Struthio camelus: one gene and its partners. Each later gene encodes a partner of the first gene's protein in a complex. Links are inferred from orthologs where the notes say so. Each region holds a gene or a part of one and is shown in the gene's direction. Other genes may lie near its edges. The genes, in order: SEH1L, WDR59 and NUP37.

Region 1 (3,747 bases):
TTTCAAACTTGGCCCATATTACCTCCTCTTCTCCTAGAAGTAGGTCTCATGTTCTTTTACGCCACAGTACTCTCAGGGCTGACCTGATAGTAATCATTAATAGAGTAAACCATAAAACAAAGAAGTAAATGTACTTTGATAAGTAAGTAAGTCAAAAACTGACGTGTTAAATGTTGCTTGTGCTTTTTGGATTTGCATCGCTGCAGAGAGCTCCAACGTTGGAAGTACGGAAATGTAAAAAGAGAGTAAATTATAGCCCAGCTTAACAATATCTACTAAAGAGAGGGAAATGGCAATAGCCCTGGCTAGAAGAGGGGAGAAAGCGGGAAGCAGCTGCAGCGCTGGTTAGGAGGCAGCAATATAGCTTGAGGACAGTAGTGCGAGAAAGCAGGCGGGGACTTGGGTGAGCAGCTGCGAAGGGTTCCTACGAGATGGTGAAAGCAGCAGGAGAAAGGAGGATGTGGGACAATGGTGGCAGTGACATACAAAAAGGTTCAGAATTACTGTGTCGGATTGCCGTAACCGACTTAACGTGTTTCTGAGATGGCTCCCAAAAAGGCGAAATCTATGACTTACTGCCATCTACTGGAATATAGTATTCACGTCTAATTCACGTTTTACTGATACAACTACATTTAATTGTTTTAAATATTCCTTTACCAAGATGTGAAGTAAGAAATCCTCCCCAAAGCCCATAAAAAAAGAAAAAAAGGTCTCAGATGCAACGTAGGCCTGGAGAAGGCTGTCCAAAGGCAGCAAGGTTGCTGCTTTCTGAGGTGCCAAAACGACGACCGTGATTTCCCGAGAAAGCTCAACCTTGCATCACCTAGAAAGGAACGTTAATATTATGTTTCTTACACGTCTCCTAGTCAGGACTGGTTTCATTCAGTTAGGCCTTATCTGATGCCTACTGCTTTGCTGTCCTCTGTGAGAGATTCACTACTGAGTGTCACTGCGGCTCACGTTGCGCGTGGCTCCACACTGCGACGACACGCAGTGCCCTATTTTCAAAGCACAGAGTTAGCTCCGGCCAGAGCAGCAGCCCTCAACAAAGCAACTCCAAGCTCGGGACAGCTCGTATTCCCCCGCGCCGGCACGGAGGCGCTCGCTGCCTGCTTTGTGGATGCCCACGGACGTGGGGGGCGGGGAGGGAGGGGGGGAAGACCTTCCCCCTGGAGGACGGGTCACCGCCGGGTGGCTGGGGAGGGCAGAGCGGCTCCGCGGTGCGCGGAAAAGGGGGGCGCCCCAGCGCGGCTGCCGCCCGCCCCAGCGCGGCCGCAGGGGGAGGGGAAGGGAGGGGAGGGGCGCGCGCGAAGGGCCGTTCACTCGGCGCCGGAACGCACGTTGGCCGTTGTAGGAGGGGGAGGAGCGAGCGGGCGGGCGCGGAGGGCTCTGGGGGCTGAGCGCGGGCCGGCGGCGGCCGTTGCCCCGCCCCCGGCGCGAGGAGGGCGCGCGCCTGGGCCGGGCCGGGCCGGGCCGCGGAGATGTTCGTGGCGCGCAGCATCGCGGCGGATCACCGCGACCTCATCCACGATGTCTCCTTCGACTTCCACGGGCGGCGCATGGCGACGTGCTCCAGCGACCAGAGCGTCAAAGTGAGCGGGAGCCGCCGGGCCTGGGCGGGGCGGGGAGGAAGAGGAGGCACCGTGGCGCCTGCCCGCGGAGCCCGGCACCGGCGCGGCCTGCAGGGCCCACCGCGCCGCCGGCGGGCACCGGCCGCGGCCGTGCGGAGCCGCCGGGCTCGGGGGCCGGCCGGCCGCCGCTCCGCCCTGCCCGGCGCGGCGCGGCGGGCCTCCAGGCCCGAGGGAGCCCGTCCCTCTCCCCGCTCCGCCTTGTGGCGCCGAGGCCTGGGAGCGAAGCGTCGCTCCAGCCGCCCGGGAGCCGCCGCCCCGGCGGGCGGGCGACCGGCCTTCGGCCTCCCCCGGGGACTGCGGAGGGCAAATGCTGCAGAAAGCCCCAGCTGCCGTTCTTGAGCTAAATGATTGCGCCCCCAGACTTCAACGGCAGGGACTGTAAAGCCACAATGTATTTATACATAATGCTTTTTTTAATATATATATATGCACACACACATATATACACATGCACATGTGTATATAGTATGTATATATGTAAGTATATATATACATATACATGTGCAAACGCACACACAGACACAGGAATACATAATTTTTTTCGACCCCTTGCTACAGCTGGGAAAACCACACAAGCACCTGATTCTCCTTTTTGGATTTGAAACAGGAGCAGTAGTTTTTGTAGTCTGTTGTTTTCGTGTCACGTGGGATGACGGGACTGTGTGCCCCAGTACCCAGAGAGGCTTTTCCTATCGGTATTAATTGGTCTAAATAGATATGTTCTTTTTCCTGACAGCTCTTACTTTTTTTTTTTTTTTAACATCCTTAAACCATTGTGGCTACAGCAGTGCAGTTTTATTTTGTGTCTTCTGAAAAGCTGTATTTATTTGAAGGCACTAAGGGAGGAAGCCGACGTCTCATACCGAAGCGCCGACAATCAACAACTAGCTGAAACGTTCTGTGCGTGCTCACACAGATAAAATGCTAGAAACCTTTATTTCACACTCCTTTAGAGGAACTAAAATCATGATAAATGGAAAGTTAATTGCTTTTTCCATTATATGAGTATAGGGAGAAGAGGTTACGTACTGTTAGATTTAAGGTATTCAGTTTGCAGAGGGCAATAATAGCATTTTTTTTTCTTTTTTAAGTTCTGGAAAATGGCCGATAAAACGTTAGCACTTTTCAGTAAATAGCTGTCTAATTTAGATGAGGCTTAAAAATAAGTAAACAGCCCCTCTTCCCTTCCCCGCACTTCAAAAAAAGCCCACTCAAGCATGTAAGTCAGCCTTTGATCTGGATTAAGTATATAAAACGTAAAGCTTAAAAGAGAATATACTTAAGAAAGGTGCCATAAGGTAGATGAAATTTAGGAACAATATTGTTCAGTGGTATAAAGTTACTTTCCAGTCATACCAGTATCTCTTATAAGAGAGTCTTGAGAAATTTTACTCTAACGAGAATTTTACAACACTGCTTAAATAGCAGTATATCTGTTATTTGGTGTCTGTTTTAGGTCCCCTCTGCCTTAGGTGGGCCCTGCAGAATAGGAATCGGGCAGCAATTTTTGTGGAGTTGGCCTGGTGAACTGATTATAACCAAGGTTGTATTAGAGATCCAGAATGACAAAAGTGAGACAATGTTATTTCAATACGGTTATACAGTGAATGAGTGAGAAACAAGGAGTGGCTGCCAGGTGTCTGGAGTTGTCTTTCCTTGATGAGATTCATGAGTTTCTTCATGATTTCTCTGAAAAAGTTGCAAAGACAAGATTTTTGGGAAGTTGAGAAAAATTATTGACAGGATGGTTATAATTCAGGTCAGACATAGTATGAACCAAATCTGTTAACCTACTGGGATCAGTTTCTCTTTGCTGTCCTACTCTGTCCTTTGTGATTGCCAGAAGCCACCTCGAGGTTTTGGAACTATCTGTGAGCACATGCCATGGTGAGGATCATAGGAGTGCTATGGTAAAATGGAGTAATTTTGGCATGCCCATGGAATGTAAGATCAAAGTGAAGAGATGAGAATTGTAATAATTTGTCTTCTGTAAAAAAAAATAGGAGACCTCATACTGTAGTGGGTTTTGCAGATGTGTGGCTCTTCCTCGGACCTGTATTAAGGATATTTTCAAGGTTGAGTGAAGTGTAGTAGTGTACTGGACCAGAAAGGA
Region 2 (3,747 bases), on another chromosome or scaffold:
GCTTCGCGCACCACCACCGAACTCCCGAGCGTCGTGTGAGCCCCCCGCCCCGGCTCCTGCCCCTTGCCTGGCCGCCTCGCGGCCGGGGCCGGGGGCGGCGTGCCCTGACACCCCGCGCCCACGACAAGCCGCTGAGGCTGCTGAGGGCCCTCCCCGAGGGCCCCTCCGGGGGGCTGGGTCCCTGCAGGGCCCCCTCCCGCTGTGCCTGCCCGGGGCAGGCTGGCGGCCCGACTGCCCCGCGGCGGGCAACGGCAGTCGCGCTGCGGCCGCCGAGGACTACATTTCCCAGCCGCCCCTGCGGGCGCCTCCCCGCGCGCACGCGCGGCCCCCGCGGCTCCTCCCCCCGACCCCGCCCGCCGGGGCCGGCGTCGGGGGTTGCTGGGGCGGCGCAAGATGGCGGCGCGCTGGAGCAGCGAGAATGTGGTGGTGGAGTTCCGCGACGCCCAGGTGCGCGGTGGCCGCCGGGGGGGGCCGGGCGCAGGGCAGCCGCTCCGCCCCGGCGGCCGCAGGCACCGCTACCGCGAGCGGCCGGCCGGCCGGCCGGCGGCGCGGGGCTCCGCTGGGCGCCTGCGGCGGCCGGGCCGCGGCCCGCGGGGGCTCGGCTCCTGGTTGCGGGCCGCGGTTGCCGCCCCGGGGGCGGTTTCGCGGTGCGCGCCGCTGCGGGCGCGGCGAGGGGCCGCTCTCGGGGCGGCGGCGGCGGCGGCGGCGGCGGCGGCTGCCTTAACCCCCGTTTGGAGCAAAGCGCGCGCAGCCCTCCGCCGCGGAGGGGAGCTAGGCGCAGCGCCGTCTGGCAGAGAGCCCTGCCCTCGGTGCGGGGGGCCAAAACCGGAGCAGCGTTTTGGCTGCCTCCCCCTCGCCTTTTTTAAAAATCTATTTCCAGACAACTTTCTCTCTTGTTCCCTTTGTTCCCCGCACCCCGAAACCTTCAGTCATGATGGGTGCCCTGTGGCTTGGCCTCGTTTCTTTAGATTTCTCATGCAAACGTGTAGAGACGGGAACCGCCTTAATGTCCGAGGCAACCGGGCCTGCGAAGCTCCAGGTGTGATCTTTTGGGTATGATCTTTTCTGAAACTCGTCACCGCTGCTGCCAGTAAAATGAGGTGTCTCAAACTGAGAGCAGGTGGTTGCTAAGCACTCTGTTATGCTGAACACCTAAAGATAAGTACATATAATTGAATGTAACAAATTGAGGCCAAGTCTATTGCTTTGTGCAGTTGCTGGTTATCTGTCTATTTTGTTAAAGAGGTGGTAGCAGGAGTACGTTTTTTCTTCTCTAGTCCAACCGTATAAAACCTGATGTGCAAGAGAGCTTCTTTACAAGCTCGTGACCTAGCTGCAGTCAAAGCCAGTAAAATTTTAACGTGACTGTTCATTGTTTTTGTTAGCAGCGTTTTAGCAGTAGCAGTGTTTTAGTCTGGCTTATGGGGAAAACATCTTATTTCACGAGGCAGTTTATTTCTAATCTTAATTAGATTTTTAACATGTGTCTGTTTTTTCCAACTATATTGGCAGGCCTAATAGAAGACGTTACTTCTTCCCACACATCTTACCTTATTTTTCCTCTGAGGCCATCACAGCGACTTTCATGGCTGCAAGTATGAATTATTGAATATAGCTTGGTTAGCAGGAAAAGCAGTTTAGGTTTTTAAATAGCAAAAAGGGCAGCTTTTATTTTTGAAGTTGTTTACAGTAGAACTCCCTTAAGAGTTTGCTTATGTGCTTTCTTAGAAGCTATTCTAAGAAACAGAGGGTGTGTTTCTTTCTTTCTTTCTTTCTTTTTTTTTTTTTTTAAGATATTGGCAATTGTTTCACAAAGCTGAATAGAGTATGTGAATTATTTCAGTAAGATATCTAGAAAAATAAAAAACAGGTTTGCAGAATCTCTTATCTTGTAGTTCGTCCTCTTATGCTAAAGCAATATCCAGTCTACGTTCACTGTTCCTGATAGACGCATTGAATACTGTGTTGGTTAAATCCAGCCTACAATTTGTAAACTAACAAGTCTTTTCGGTTTTATGTCTGAAAAACTTTACATTAGTTTTGTTTTCCTCCTGAAAGAAATTCTTCTGTCTTGTCTAGAGACTATGACTCTGTTTTTAAAGATTTGCTCTCAAGAAACTAGTAACAAGATACAGAAGTATTTATTCCTGGATCACAGATTAAGCTCTCATCTGGCTCAGGAAAGTCACGGTCTTATCACTTGATTGCTTATTCATAATGATTTGTGTGTGGGAGCAAAGAGGAGAAAAGAGAGGAAGAAACAGGTGTTTAAATCCTCTTCAGCAATTGGTGTCAGTCTAGCTGTTGTGCTGATTTATGCCTTAAATAGGGAGGTATTTCAGTTGCTTCAGTTTACTCCAATGGTCATCCTTCTAGAATGGCTCTGACCTGCCTGTCCCCTCAAATGAAATCAGAGGGCTTCAGTCTCTTGGGCTGCTAGACTATTGCTTTCAAACTAATCTCATTTATATATGTTTGAGCTTTAGCTTTTTTAGGAGTTTGCATGCATGAAAGATTTTTGCAGAGCGGAAACCTGATCTTCAGAAGGAGAAATGCCTTGGCTGTGATCATGTAGGCCTGAGTTCTACCTATAGGCCATGCTGCCTCCAAAATCCCTATCCCAAACTAATATAACTGCAAAGAGAGTCAAAGAGTGGCCGGCTGTTGCATTTATAGGCTGTACTTGTCTGCAGGAACTGCAGTTACCTTCATTTCCAATGCCGAAAGCGTGTCGTGTGAAAACTACAGCACCTAATCTGCAACACTCCATCCAAGCAGAAAACCTTATGGTAGTTTGGGGCGAATGTTGTCTAGAAGTGACATTTTTTCTATAGAAACCGACAGAGGCAGCAGTCTGTGCTCTCTTCCAATTTAGATATGACCCACAGGCTCTTGTCAGGCTGTCAATACTGTCAAACGGAGAGTAAAACTCACCGTATCTGACTATGAAATCGTCAGAGCAACTCAGCGTGCAGGCGAGAAGTTATACTATGCAAACAGCTGATCTCTCTCACCAACAATTTGCAGTCTAAAAATCAATGTAGCCTTGGCAAATCTGTTGCTGTTCAGGTGAAGGTGTTTTCTGTGACTTGTCTAGCAGAAGTCAAATTAAATGCTAAGGTAGACGTTTGAAGTCTGAGAAGATACTCCCTGGGCTGTAGGCTCAGAGTTGGTTTTAACTGTGCAGTGCTCCTAGCGTTCACAGAGCTGTTACTTATAAACAGCAACTCTAGCTATCCTGATTATTGTTTTAGGATAAAAACTGTTTTCAGGTTGGTTGGTTGATTTTCAACCGCACCTTCTGGAAGGTTGTGCTGCAAAGACACATGTATCCGTATACAAAGCACATTAAATGCTGATTTTTTTTTTTCCTTCTGTTGCCTAGATAAGAGGCTGTAATATTGGAGGAAAGATCTTGCCATAAACTGACTTCATTTCTGACCCAGCAGAACAGCAGCCTGACACACAAAGCTTTCTACTGTCCAGTAATTAGTCATTACTTTTTATGATGGACAGTGCCTGGAAAAAAGTTTACCAGTGTTCATTATTGAAAAACAGTTTATAAGGATTTATGATATCCTTGTGCCAACACCAGGAAATAAACTCCGTATATGCAATTATCAATCACTTTAAATTGACTGGTAGATTTCTCCTATCTTGGGGAAAGATGGCCAAAGCTGAGTGAAATATGTCAGCTGACTAGCTCTACGTCACATGAGAAGGCCCTGATTTCAGTAACGTCTTCAG
Region 3 (3,747 bases), on another chromosome or scaffold:
GATGCTTCTTTCAGTAGAAGTCTGAAGAATAAACTCTCCCCACCAGTGTGCAAAGCCTACATACACCAGCAAAAGTCACCTCGCTAAGGCAGAGCAAACATTGCAGGAAACAGGGAAAAAGTGCTTATATACGACATGTCTTCATAAACACCCCATGTTCTCCTTTTACATCACACTAACATAACAGAGTAAAAGTTATCACACACAAGACAGTCTCGCCTCTGAAACCAGTCAGTCAAAATGCCCCAGGGAAAAATACAAACCTCCCTGGAGATAATCTGCTTTCTGTACTATCTGCATCCACTATACTTTCAGACCAGTCTCTATGGACGTGCTTTAAGCCTAGAAATGTGAGATTTAATAGATGTTCCAAAAATCACTACAAAAAGATATTTCCAAATACTAAATAATTTGGGTTTTTTTTTTTCTTGATCTCTCCTATTTCCTTTAGGAATGAGTTCAGTATCAGTTTTGAATTTGACTACTTTGTGCTTTGCTCTTCCTCAGCCTCTTGCCCCCCTCCTTTTTTTTTTTTTTTTTTTTTAAAGAAAAGGTACCTGAGACTCTCATCTTGCTTTCTTTAAACCTATTCTTCCCTGAAACACAGGGCTCAACATTGCATGTAGTACCTAGCAAGAACTAGGTCATCCACTTATAGAACACAAAACTAACCTTTCCCCTTATTATATTTCACCTCATTCACACACACAACCCACAGCATTTTTTTTTAAACAGGCATAACCATGAAGAACAAACAAGCACAGGAGAGAGGTGAGGAATACAGGAGACTTCTCATAACAAGCAAAACAGTAACAGCAGCTGCAATAGTTTATTTTCCAAGTTGCTTGCAAGGGATGACTTGCTTCATTTTATTTCTGCTTACACTGACGTGAACAAGTCATGCAGGCCATAGGGGACAGGACAGTTGACCAGGTGCAAGTCAGTATGGGGCAGACATAATCTCTCCTGAGGTGCTTCTCCATTCTCCCTCCCCCGCCCTCCCCCCCCCACAACGTGGGCAGTTTCTGAGGAACAAGCCAAACCACTCAGAGCAAACACTTAGGGAAACATCTCAAACAAGCCAAGAAAAAACAAAACAAACTGAAGTAAGCCCTAAGGCCTGTCCTGTCCTATCCTATCACCATCATCCCTCCCCCCAGCTTGAGGGCCCCGGCCGTGGCCACCGCAGGGCGCCCCTCACCACCTCCCAGCCTCGCGCTGCCCCCCCGCGAGCACCTCAGGGACAGCGCGAAGCCGGGGCACCCCCACCCCGGGGCACCCCGCTCTTTGCTTAGAAGAGGACCGCAGCTCCTACGCCCTCCCCCAGACTTTAGCACCCCTCTCCCAGCCAACTCAGTCCTCCTGCTCTCCTAGGGGAAGATACCTGCGTGACTAGGAGGACAAAGCCACCAGCGCAGCTCAAGCGCGAGACCGCAACTGCCCTCCCCGGCGGTTTAAATTTAAATCCTCGGCAGCTGCCCAATTAGGGAGCGCGAGACCGCTGACCCGGAAGCATAGGGCTGCCGGCACCGGGGTGGGAGGCGCTGCCAACGGTTGGCGGGAGAGGCGGTTGCGCTGCCGCCGGTGCCGCGGCCGTTGGGCGCTTTGGGGGCCGCAGAGGTGCGTGCAGGGGCCTCGGCCCGGGGGGGGGGGGAGCTCGGGGCCTCTCCCGGCCCAGGAGCGGGGCTGGGGCCGGGGCTCGCCTGGCTGGGGCGGGCGCGGCCCGGGCCCTCGGGCGGGAGGAGGCAGCGTGCTGGGACGTTAGCTTGGCGTTAGCAGCTGGGCTCCGAGGGGAGGAGGAGGGAGCAGGGGGCTGCAGTGGGGCTGCCGGGCACCCGCACGGCTCAGTTGCCGGAGTTGTGTTTCCTTAAGGAATTAAGCTAAATAACCTCGAGGAAGTTTTTAATTAAACTGGTCTGGCAGTCTGCGTTGGTGAGATATCTTGCAAGTCAGAAAGCTACAGGTGGGGTTAAAATTTGGCCTCAGAAGAAACATAGCTGTATGTAGGACTTGGCCGCAGTATCACTGTGGTGGCGTGTCATATTGCTGAATGAATGAAAGAGTGCAACTACGGAGAGCTTTTTTGTGCCTTGGTGATGTCCGTGGAAAACCTGGGTGGTTCCCAAGCAAAAAATTCAGTCTTTGATCCTGAGACCTGCAGACTGCTAGCTTAGCAAAATCTGTCAGGGCTCTCAAACATAAAGCTATTTCTACACGCTGTGTGTAATTAAAGATATGTTTTCCCAAAAGGCTTAAACTAATGAGAATCTGTCCTGGGGCTGGAAGGGATGATTCTGTTCTCTGTTGTGTATCTCGGCTCCCGCTGTATTAGCGCAGGAACCCAATTTACTTGAAAACTGGTTGAATACAGTAAAGTAGTAAGTTGTGGACATGCACACTTTTTTTCTAGTTGAAAGTTAGCTGTTTTGCTGTTAGAGGGGAACTACAGAGGCTCTGTCAGCAGTTGGGTTGGCTTAAATCATGAAACTGTATTTTCGTGTTCTGTATGTATTCTCATTTACGTTGTGTGGCCCTGATTAGCTCTGCTTTTAATTAAACAAATACTATCTTTTAAAGAGACACACTAGAGAAGAGAATTTGAAGGTAGTGATGCATCGTTTGTTGTCTCTTTGTTGGAAATTGAGCAGTTCTATGTGTGACTCTTCTGATGTGTACAGTGCCTTAATCTCCCGGCACTTTTTTTGTCTTAGTGCTGATTGTCATAATGGCACAAAATTTGCCATTATTGCTGAAGTCAGTAGAGACAGCTTTGAACGTATATAAGCGTTCTAGTTAATATTTTGATTGATAGAATTACATATTAAATCTATATACGCTGAGCTTAAATACTGCTTTTGTGTTCTTTTTAAATATGGTATTATAGCAAAGTTTGATTTATGCCGCAAATACTTTTATCTTTCTTTATGCAAATGTGTAACGATTGCTTTTTCAAACTTTATACGTAGGTATATAGGTCTTCATCCTGTAGAAGACGTTGATACCCTGATTTATTCCCTTGAAAATGAAGCAAGATTCTATTAGAAATGCTGCTTACACTGTGGATTGTGAAGATTATGTGCACGTGGTAAAATTCAATCCATTTGATTGTGGAGATGCATGTTCGCTAATCGCATATGGTGGCAATAATTACGTAGTAGTTGGGACTTGCAGATTTCAGGTTAGTTTGTGTTATTGCTGAGATTTTTATTAGTTGCCTCCTGAAACTTACTTTGCCAGCACCTCTGGTGCACAAAGACCCAAGCTGCTTTCCTGTTTCCCCTCACTCCATTTTACCAGGCAGTCTATTGACTTAATGAGTCTAGAGTACTTATTCTCTGAGAAAATATATATTTTTGTATATATATATTTTCTACAAGTTGGTTATAACTAAATATATCACTGTGATCTCAGTGAGAATGGTGATCTCACTGTGAGATCATCATTCTGCTGGTATAAAGTTCTTTTTCAATAGATTGCAATGAAACAGTAGTAGGCAATCCCATCTGTATCATCTCTTGGAAATGTTGCTGATTGCTACCTAGTAACTTAGGTGGACAGCTTTGAAATGTATAGCCTAAGTTTTGCTGTTCATTGTGCAAACTATTCTTTTTTGTCACAATCAGCTCCTTTTTTTGCACGCATATATTGTTTTCTGTATATATGCTATTTAGATTTAACTCTCTTCTAAGACTTTCAGCTTGTCTGAAAAACAACAAAGTTTATAACTATTTTGAAGCTATAATTAAC

Evidence for each region.
Region 2: the proteins of SEH1L (region 1) and WDR59 are in contact, whole or in part, in a cryo-EM structure (PDB 7UHY), measured with the Homo sapiens proteins. The link is inferred for Struthio camelus from reciprocal best matches to the Homo sapiens genes SEH1L and WDR59. Residues at the interface, in NP_112493.2 of Homo sapiens: Asn308, Tyr309, Met310, Asn312, Lys314; in NP_085058.3 of Homo sapiens: Pro713, Asp714, Glu716, Thr717, Pro718, Arg721, Arg837, Glu840, Gln843, His844, Asn847.
Region 3: SEH1L (region 1) and NUP37 share a complex: the UniProt entries of both Homo sapiens proteins name them as parts of the nup107-160 subcomplex of the nuclear pore complex. The link is inferred for Struthio camelus from reciprocal best matches to the Homo sapiens genes SEH1L and NUP37.

Annotation. Positions count from the first base shown.
Region 1 is NC_090943.1:113,515,979-113,519,725, reverse strand, and holds the start of SEH1L (nucleoporin SEH1), read left to right. Parts: upstream 1-1,413; 5' UTR 1,414-1,484; coding exon 1,485-1,595; intron 1,596-3,747. UniProt on the Homo sapiens protein: Component of the Nup107-160 subcomplex of the nuclear pore complex (NPC). The Nup107-160 subcomplex is required for the assembly of a functional NPC.
Region 2 is NC_090951.1:22,342,414-22,346,160, forward strand, and holds the start of WDR59 (GATOR2 complex protein WDR59), read left to right. Parts: upstream 1-857; 5' UTR 858-975; coding exon 976-1,039; intron 1,040-1,512; coding exon 1,513-1,595; intron 1,596-3,747. UniProt on the Homo sapiens protein: As a component of the GATOR2 complex, functions as an activator of the amino acid-sensing branch of the mTORC1 signaling pathway. The GATOR2 complex indirectly activates mTORC1 through the inhibition of the GATOR1 subcomplex.
Region 3 is NC_090942.1:63,533,052-63,536,798, forward strand, and holds the start of NUP37 (nucleoporin Nup37), read left to right. Parts: upstream 1-1,485; 5' UTR 1,486-1,620; intron 1,621-2,966; 5' UTR 2,967-3,022; coding exon 3,023-3,178; intron 3,179-3,747. UniProt on the Homo sapiens protein: Component of the Nup107-160 subcomplex of the nuclear pore complex (NPC). The Nup107-160 subcomplex is required for the assembly of a functional NPC.